2 linked regions of the Xenopus tropicalis genome follow. The protein of the gene in region 1 interacts with the protein of each later gene in a pairwise test. Links are inferred from orthologs where the notes say so. Each region holds a gene or a part of one and is shown on either strand. Other genes may lie near its edges. The genes, in order: cd63 and timp-1.

Region 1 (4,266 bases):
GACCAGTTACCTATCAGGTCACCTAGCTGCTGATTTGTTCCCATCCTACAGAGCTGTGTGCAGTTGGCTCCTCTGCACAACATAAGGAGGCAAAACAGATGGGTGGAACGAGTAGCCCCAAACTTAACACATTTCTTCTATATTTATGAGTATTGATTTTTATATGGATTTTTACACAAAATGTCTCATTTGAAGTGGCCCTGTACCCATGTACACTAATTAATAAGCAGTATCAGTACCAGTAGATCACTTTAAAGTTTCTGGTAGACCTCAAGGTGGAATGCAATGGGATGACATCCCGCCACTTTTTTCCCCTCCAGCATACTGGAGACTTTGAGTGCGGCTGCTTAAGCCATCCCTCTTTGTAGTTTCATCCCAGTATAGAAGATTGTCCCCACTGGGCCGCTGATTATATTTGTTCCCACTTTATATATGTTTCTGTGTGCAGACTACAAAGTGGGCCATGAAGAAGGGAAGTAAAAACTACTACAATCCTTTCACATTAAACTTGAAGTTGCCGCTTAAATAATATTATGTGGGCGTTAAATGTGAATTTGGCACTGCATTTATATATTGCTATGTGTATTTGTTAAACATAGATTGAATTTTTTTTTGCTTATTGCGCCAAATGATAGACGTCTCACTATTTTAACTGTGGTATATCTCATGGCGGAGGCTAGGTGGCAAGAGTAGATCACAAGGTGACAAAGTCTGGGCACCCCTGCCAGTGTTGGGCTGGAACCCCAGGAGCCACCAGAATACCTTAGACTATGGGCCCACTCTCCAAAATATTTTTCCTCCTTTCCTCTCCTATTATTTTTACTTACATTCTAGCATCTATCCTTCCATCCATTTTTCCTTTGTTCCCATTCAGAAATAGGGAATGACCATGAAGTAGGCCAAATGGTCAGGAGCAGGAGGGCCCACTGAAACCTGGGCCCACTGGGAGTTTTATTTGTATCCTGGGGGGCCAGTCCCACACTGACCCCTGCTCTACTGCAATCTTTACTTGTCCCTTAGGTATAGGGAAAGCCAATCGTGTAGTTATTTTAGTTGCCACAGGGTAATCTAGGTTGGAAATGAGAAAAACTGCTTTTTCAGCGTTGTGGTTTGAAGCCCTGGGTCCCATTAAACTTCCACATCGTGGCTAATTATTAGAAAGTTGAGTTCCTGCGAAAAGTAAATGAAAAGGAAGTGGGAGTGCAAGAGCCTGTTATTGGGAAGTGAGGCACATGAGGAGAATGAGCAAGCTCCCCCCTGTCCCACTCACCCATTTCCTAACCCAAACTCGGGGGTTCCCCGGAGCAGCCCGCCCACCCTCGGTAAACATTCTCATTATGGAGCCTGTGTCATGGTGATGTCAGAGTCACATGGCGCCAGCCCTCCGTGTAATCACAAGGGGAGGAAGTGTTGCGCTAGGGAGGGGGAGGTGTAAGTGCCTGGCAGAGAGTTACTTCGCAGACTAGAGAGGCAGCACAGCAGAGTCACTCGCCGCAAGTTACCAGGGAGGAGAACGAGAAAGGTAAAGGGCGGGCAGGCAGGGTGCGGGGCAACGAGAGCGTTGGGGGCGCTAGCGGGGAGGCGCTGAGTACAATCCCAGGGAGCGCTAGCGGGGAGGCGCTGCTGTATAAATCCCAGGGAGCGCTAGCGGGGAGGCGCTGAGTACAATCCCAGGGAGCGCTAGCGGGGAGGCGCTGCTGTATAAATCCCAGGGAGCGCTAGCGGGGAGGCGCTGCAGTATAAATCCCAGGGAGCGCTAGCGGGGAGGCGCTGCAGTATAAATCCCAGGGAGCGCTAGCGGGGAGGCGCTGCTGTATAAATCCCAGGGAGCGCTAGCGGGGAGGCGCTGCTGTATAAATCCCAGGGAGCGCTAGCGGGGAGGCGCTGCTGTATAAATCCCAGGGAGCGCACAGAGGCGCAGCTGTTAGTCGGACACATCCAGCAGTGAGCGCTGCCCAGGGAGGGGTCACACTAAACTCTACTTTATCGCAGCTCTATTTCCCCTTGCAGGCAGAGCGGCAGGATGGCGGTGGAAGGGGGAATGAAATGTGTCAAGTTCCTTATGTTCTTCTTCAACTTCGTGTTCTGGGTAAGGCCACTTCTACTTCTCAATCCCAACAGCGGCCAAGGGCTGAGTCAGTGGGAGGCTCCGTGGGGCTCTGAGGTTGTTGCTATGATCCCGGGTTAGTGGTGGAAAGTGTGGCATGTTATAGTTCGGCCACAGCTTTAGAGCCGCTGATCTAGTGCTCTAGTCTAGCCCTGATATCTCCTAGTAGAGAACTTAACTCGCCCATATTAGATCAGAGTGTTTGCCAGCTTCTGCCTCACGGGCATGGGGGCTGGCACTGATTTATATCAAAGAGTGGTACGGGGGGAGGATTGTTGTCTCTTAACTCAATCTCCCCCGCTCTTATCATGGGAGGCAAGTTAGTGTGCAACAGCTGCCCGGACTGGTTATACACAGTCATGTGACCTGTGCAGCCTGTTGCCCTGGGGTGAATATTCTGCACTCTCCGGCTCCAGCTTGATTTATTCCCCCTGCTCAACAAGCTCTTCAGCTGATCAACCACAACCATTAGCTTTCCAGATGTTCAAAAAGTCGCTGGGTTCTGGGAGTTGTAGTTCAGTACCATATGGAAGGCATCCCATCGCTAGTCCTAAAAAAAACAACTATTTTTTTAAAATACATATGCTGTGCAGCAGCTATGAGGAATTTGGTACATTTCTCTAAAGCCTTTCTAAATAAATATGTAACTCCATACACACCTACAGGCAGATAATGATTTTGTAAATACATTGCAGCTGCAGTGAGTAAATAGTATCACTTTGCATGTTTATGGGATACATTGTTGGGAGTCTTCTGGCCAAGGGAAGTGCTCTGGGCACTGCCCTGAAATTGTAAGGTCTCCAAATCATTCCCTGTAGGCTTCACACCCCTCTGCAGTACTGCCTAACAGTCCAGGGCCTGTTTAATATTTGGGTAGGATATTAAAATACAGTTATTTGTAAAAAATGGTAAATGATGACTATATGATCCCAGACTGCTCAAAGAACCAGAATGTTATATTTTTTTTTAAATGACAGGTGTGACTGAGGCCTAAAGCTTACAGGGGATTTGAACTATTATGGACTAGTATATTGGCCAGTCTGCCACTCCCCTTACTTATGAAGACTATATTACCTTTAATTACAGTAATGGTTTTGCTTTTCCTTGTACGATTCTATGAAACCCAATCCCTTTCTTGAATCATAAGTAGATAATATCTCATTTAGTACTATTTGGGGCTTTCATATCTTTATGGACCACACCCATTTTAACTCTTGAAATTCTTGAAAAGTTGCCTGCATATTTTTAATGTTTTTGAACTGACCTTATACAAGGTTCTTGTATATCTGTTTTATTAAGAGGCGGGACTAAAGCTATCTGAGTTCTGGTGGAACACAGAACTGATAAGGCCACACAGTACTTCTGGTCACAAGGTTTGATGGTGCTCCTTTCACCAGGGCTGAAATGTGTACTGGTAGTGGGAGAGGTATGGAAGAGTGTTTTCCCAACCTCAGTTACTACGTTAACTGGTTCGTTTAGGAGAGAGGGGCAAGATTATCGAAAGCTGAGATTAAAATTAAAATGAAATGCGATCATATGTGTTTAAACAGACTAAGCAAACTGAAGGATTTCCTGGTTGGTTACCCAGAAAGGCTTTGCCCTTGTATGATTAAAATGTTCATATATACACGTATGCATTGTGATATCTTGTCAATATTTAATGAAGGTTTGTACACCTATTTTAGGTACTGTGTGGGCAGTGAAACAGTAGATTCTTATTTACAGAAAGGGTTGGTACATAGCTACAATTAGAGACCCGTAGGTAGGGATGCCATCTTTTATAGGGGGGGAAATTATCTTTATTCCTTACATGGAACAATTAAATCAAGCATAATTCTACTATCCAGGTGGTAACACTATTTGTAGGTTGTATGAAAGCAACAACCTAATGAGTTTAGGACATCTAGTTTTTAAAATCATGTTGCATTGTAGGCAGAATGCTCCTTTTTGAATTGATGGTTATTACCCTGTAGCAGGTTTTAAAAAGACACTCGGTGCTGCCAGTGGCACATGATATAATCTGTATGGCGGATAGACCCATAGGTGCAAGACTTACGTTATTGTTCTTTCAAGATAACTGCCTTACAAGAGCGTAGTTTCACTCATGTCTGCCTCTTGCCCCGTTGGCCAGAAAGGCCGATATTGTTTACTTTTATTCT
Region 2 (3,150 bases), on another chromosome or scaffold:
CTATACTGTGAGGGCTGTGGCACAGGGAGGAAGGGAATGGGGCAGCAGAAGGGGATGGGGGGATAGGGGTTCCTCATCACAGGTAAGAGCTCTGCCCCGCTCTCTAACACCCAAGCACTATACTGTGAGGGCTGTGGCACAGGGAGGAAGGGAATGGGGCAGTAGAAGGGGACGGGGGGTAGGTGTTCCTCATCACAGGTGAGAGCTCTGCCCCGCTCTCTAACACCCAAGCACTATGCTGTAAGGGCTGTGGCACAGGGAGGAAGGGAATGGGGCAGCAGAAGGGGATGGGGGGGATAGGTGTTCCTCATCACAGGTAAGAGCTCTGCCCCGCTCTCTAACACCCAAGCACTATGCTGTAAGGGCTGTGGCACAGGGAGGAAGGGAATGGGGCAGCAGAAGGGGATGGGGGGGTAGGTGTTCCTCATCACAGGTAAGAGCTCTGCCCCGCTCTCTAACACCCAAGCACCATGCTGTAAGGGCTGTGGCACAGGGAGGAAGAGGATGGGGCAGAAGGGGGAACAGTTAGTGGGTGATTGGCAGCTGCAGTGAAGAGAATGCCCCATGTGCCCTGCTGGGGTTGGTATCAATCCCCTGCCCCCCTCAAGTATCAACCCCGCCTCTCTACCAACACGCCCCCTGATGCCAATCTCTTTATTGCCCCTGCCCAGGGCACGTGATGAACGGTAACCTGCAAATCGACCAGTGCAACTTCATCGTTCCTTGGGCCTCACTATCGGTCGCCCAGAGGAAGGGCTTCCAGGAGGTCTATCCCAAGTCCTGTTCCTGCAGTGTGAGTAGCCGTGGGGCAAGTTACCCCTCCCAATCCTGTCTTGCCCCCACCCGGACCCTCTCTTTATTCACTGACCAGCCCATATTATATTGTGCCCTCCAATAGGGGTGAGCCTCCCCCCATAACCCCCCTGTGTCTTGCCATGCAGTTTCCCATTCTGTTTGCTGACCTATATAGCTGCTCCCCCTAGTGCCCAGGACTGGTACTGCAGTAGCCATGAGATCCCTATTGCCCCCATTAGAGTGGGTCACTAGGGGAGGATTTCTATTGGCCGATAATAACTGGGCCCTTCTCTCCTCCCCCTACAGATTGGGCCCTGCTACAGTGGTACCTGCCCCCCCCTAGTGCCCAGGACTGGTACTGCAGTAGCTATGAGATCCCTATTGCCCCCATTAGAGTGGGTCGCTGGGGGAGGATTTCTATTGGCCGATAGTAATTGGGCACTTCTCTCCCCCCCCTACAGATTGTGCCCTGCTACAGTGGTACCTGCCCCCCCTAGTGCCCAGGACTGGTACTGCAGTAGCTATGAGATCCCTATTGCCCCCATTAGAGTGGGTCACTAGGGGAGGATTTCCATTGGCTGATAGTAACTGGGCATTTCTCTCCCCCCCCCTACAGATTGTGCCCTGCTACAGTGGTACCTGCCCCCCCTAGTGCCCAGGACTGGTACTGCAGTAGCTATGAGATCCCTATTGCCCCCATTAGAGTGGGTCACTAGGGGAGGATTTCCATTGGCTGATAGTAACTGGGCATTTCTCTCCCCCCCCCTACAGATTGTGCCCTGCTACAGTGGTACCTGCTCCCCCTAGTGCCCAGGACTGGTACTGCAGTAGCTATGAGATCCCTATTGCCCCCATTAGAGTGGGTCACTAGGGGAGGATTTCCATTGGCTGATAGTAACTGGGCACTTCTCTCCTCCCCCTACAGATTGTGCCCTGCTACAGCGGTACCTGCCCCCCCCTAGTGCCCAGGACTGGTACTGCAGTAGCCATGAGATCCCTATTGCCCCCATTAGAGTGGGTCACTAGGGGAGGATTTCCATTGGCTGATAGTAACTGGGCATTTCTTTCCCCCCCCTACAGATTGTGCCCTGCTACAGTGGTACCTGCTCCCCCTAGTGCCCAGGACTGGTACTGCAGTAGCCATGAGATCCCTATTGCCCCCATTAGAGTGGGTCACTAGGGGAGGATTTCCATTGGCTGATAGTAACTGGGCATTTCTTTCCCCCCCCTACAGATTGTGCCCTGCTACAGTGGTACCTGCTCCCCCTAGTGCCCAGGACTGGTACTGCAGTAGCTATGAGATCCCTATTGCCCCCATTAGAGTGGGTCGCTAGGGGAGGATTTCTATTGGCTGATAGTAACTGGGCATTTCTTTCCCCCCCCTACAGATTGTGCCCTGCTACAGTGGTACCTGCTCCCTGGAGTCCGACAACCAGTGCCTTTGGACCGACGTACTGGTGAACTGGATGGAGCCCCTGAATGGGTCCCAGTCCAAGTACATGGCGTGTGTGGACCAGGGCAGCGGTTTGTGCTCGTGGGAGTCCCAGAAACCCAGCGCCATCGCTGCCCGGAATAAGGCGGCAGCGTCGGGTTCCGCAGCAGAATAACCTGGGGGGGGGGGTGCTTCGTGGGGGATAATGGGAGGGGCCACTTTAAGGGGGAGGAGTTGGTTTGTACATTTGAGTGCACGTCCCCTTTGTACCGGGGGAAATAAATGTCTTTTTATGGTTTTTGTACAATGTCTCCAGCATCTGCATATCCTTACTCTATACACACGGGGGTCCCGAATACTGGGTACCCCCAAAGCCTCCCCCCATCTACCTGAGTGCTCCCCGTGCCCCATGTGTGCTGCCCAGCAGGGGATTTGAGGGCACATTCCATGGCATAGAGAGTATGGGGGCGGGGCTACCCAGGGGGGCGGGGCTACCCAGAGGGCTACTCAGGTCACAGCACAGGCAGCTAATTCCCAGGGAAATGACTCCCAGCCGCCGCCGCCCCGTGACTCACCATCTCCTTATGGTTGGGGTAATAAGTCTGTTCTATGAGAGGGAAGTCGTCCGGCCCCAACTTCCTGTGTAACCGCACCAACTGGGAGAACTGGAAAGAGAAGGAAACGGATCAGAACTCGGGATAACTGCCCCCTCCCCCATACAGAAATGGATCAGTACCCGGGATCCCCCCCCCCCCCTCCCCCATACAGAAACGGATCAGTACCCGGGATCCCCCCCCCCCCTCCCCCATACAGAAACGGATCAGTACCCGGGATCCCTCCCCCCCTCCCCCATACAGAAATGGATCAGTACCCGGGATCCCTCCCCCCCTCCCCCATACAGAAATGGATCAGTACCCGGGATC

What was found.
Region 2: the proteins of cd63 (region 1) and timp-1 interact in binary tests that used the Homo sapiens proteins (3 or more experiments, as listed by UniProt). The link is inferred for Xenopus tropicalis from reciprocal best matches to the Homo sapiens genes CD63 and TIMP1.

What each region holds. Positions count from the first base shown.
Region 1 is NC_030678.2:137,148,298-137,152,563, reverse strand, and holds the start of cd63 (CD63 antigen), read left to right. Parts: upstream 1-1,426; 5' UTR 1,427-1,522; intron 1,523-2,010; 5' UTR 2,011-2,023; coding exon 2,024-2,089; intron 2,090-4,266. UniProt on the Homo sapiens protein: Functions as a cell surface receptor for TIMP1 and plays a role in the activation of cellular signaling cascades. Plays a role in the activation of ITGB1 and integrin signaling, leading to the activation of AKT, FAK/PTK2 and MAP kinases.
Region 2 is NC_030684.2:1,442,399-1,445,548, reverse strand, and holds the end of timp-1 (uncharacterized protein LOC100135142 precursor), read left to right. Parts: intron 1-671; coding exon 672-793; intron 794-2,183; coding exon 2,184-2,402; 3' UTR 2,403-2,531; downstream 2,532-3,150. Other genes in the region: syn1 (synapsin-1), read right to left, coding at 2,803-2,892. UniProt on the Homo sapiens protein: Metalloproteinase inhibitor that functions by forming one to one complexes with target metalloproteinases, such as collagenases, and irreversibly inactivates them by binding to their catalytic zinc cofactor.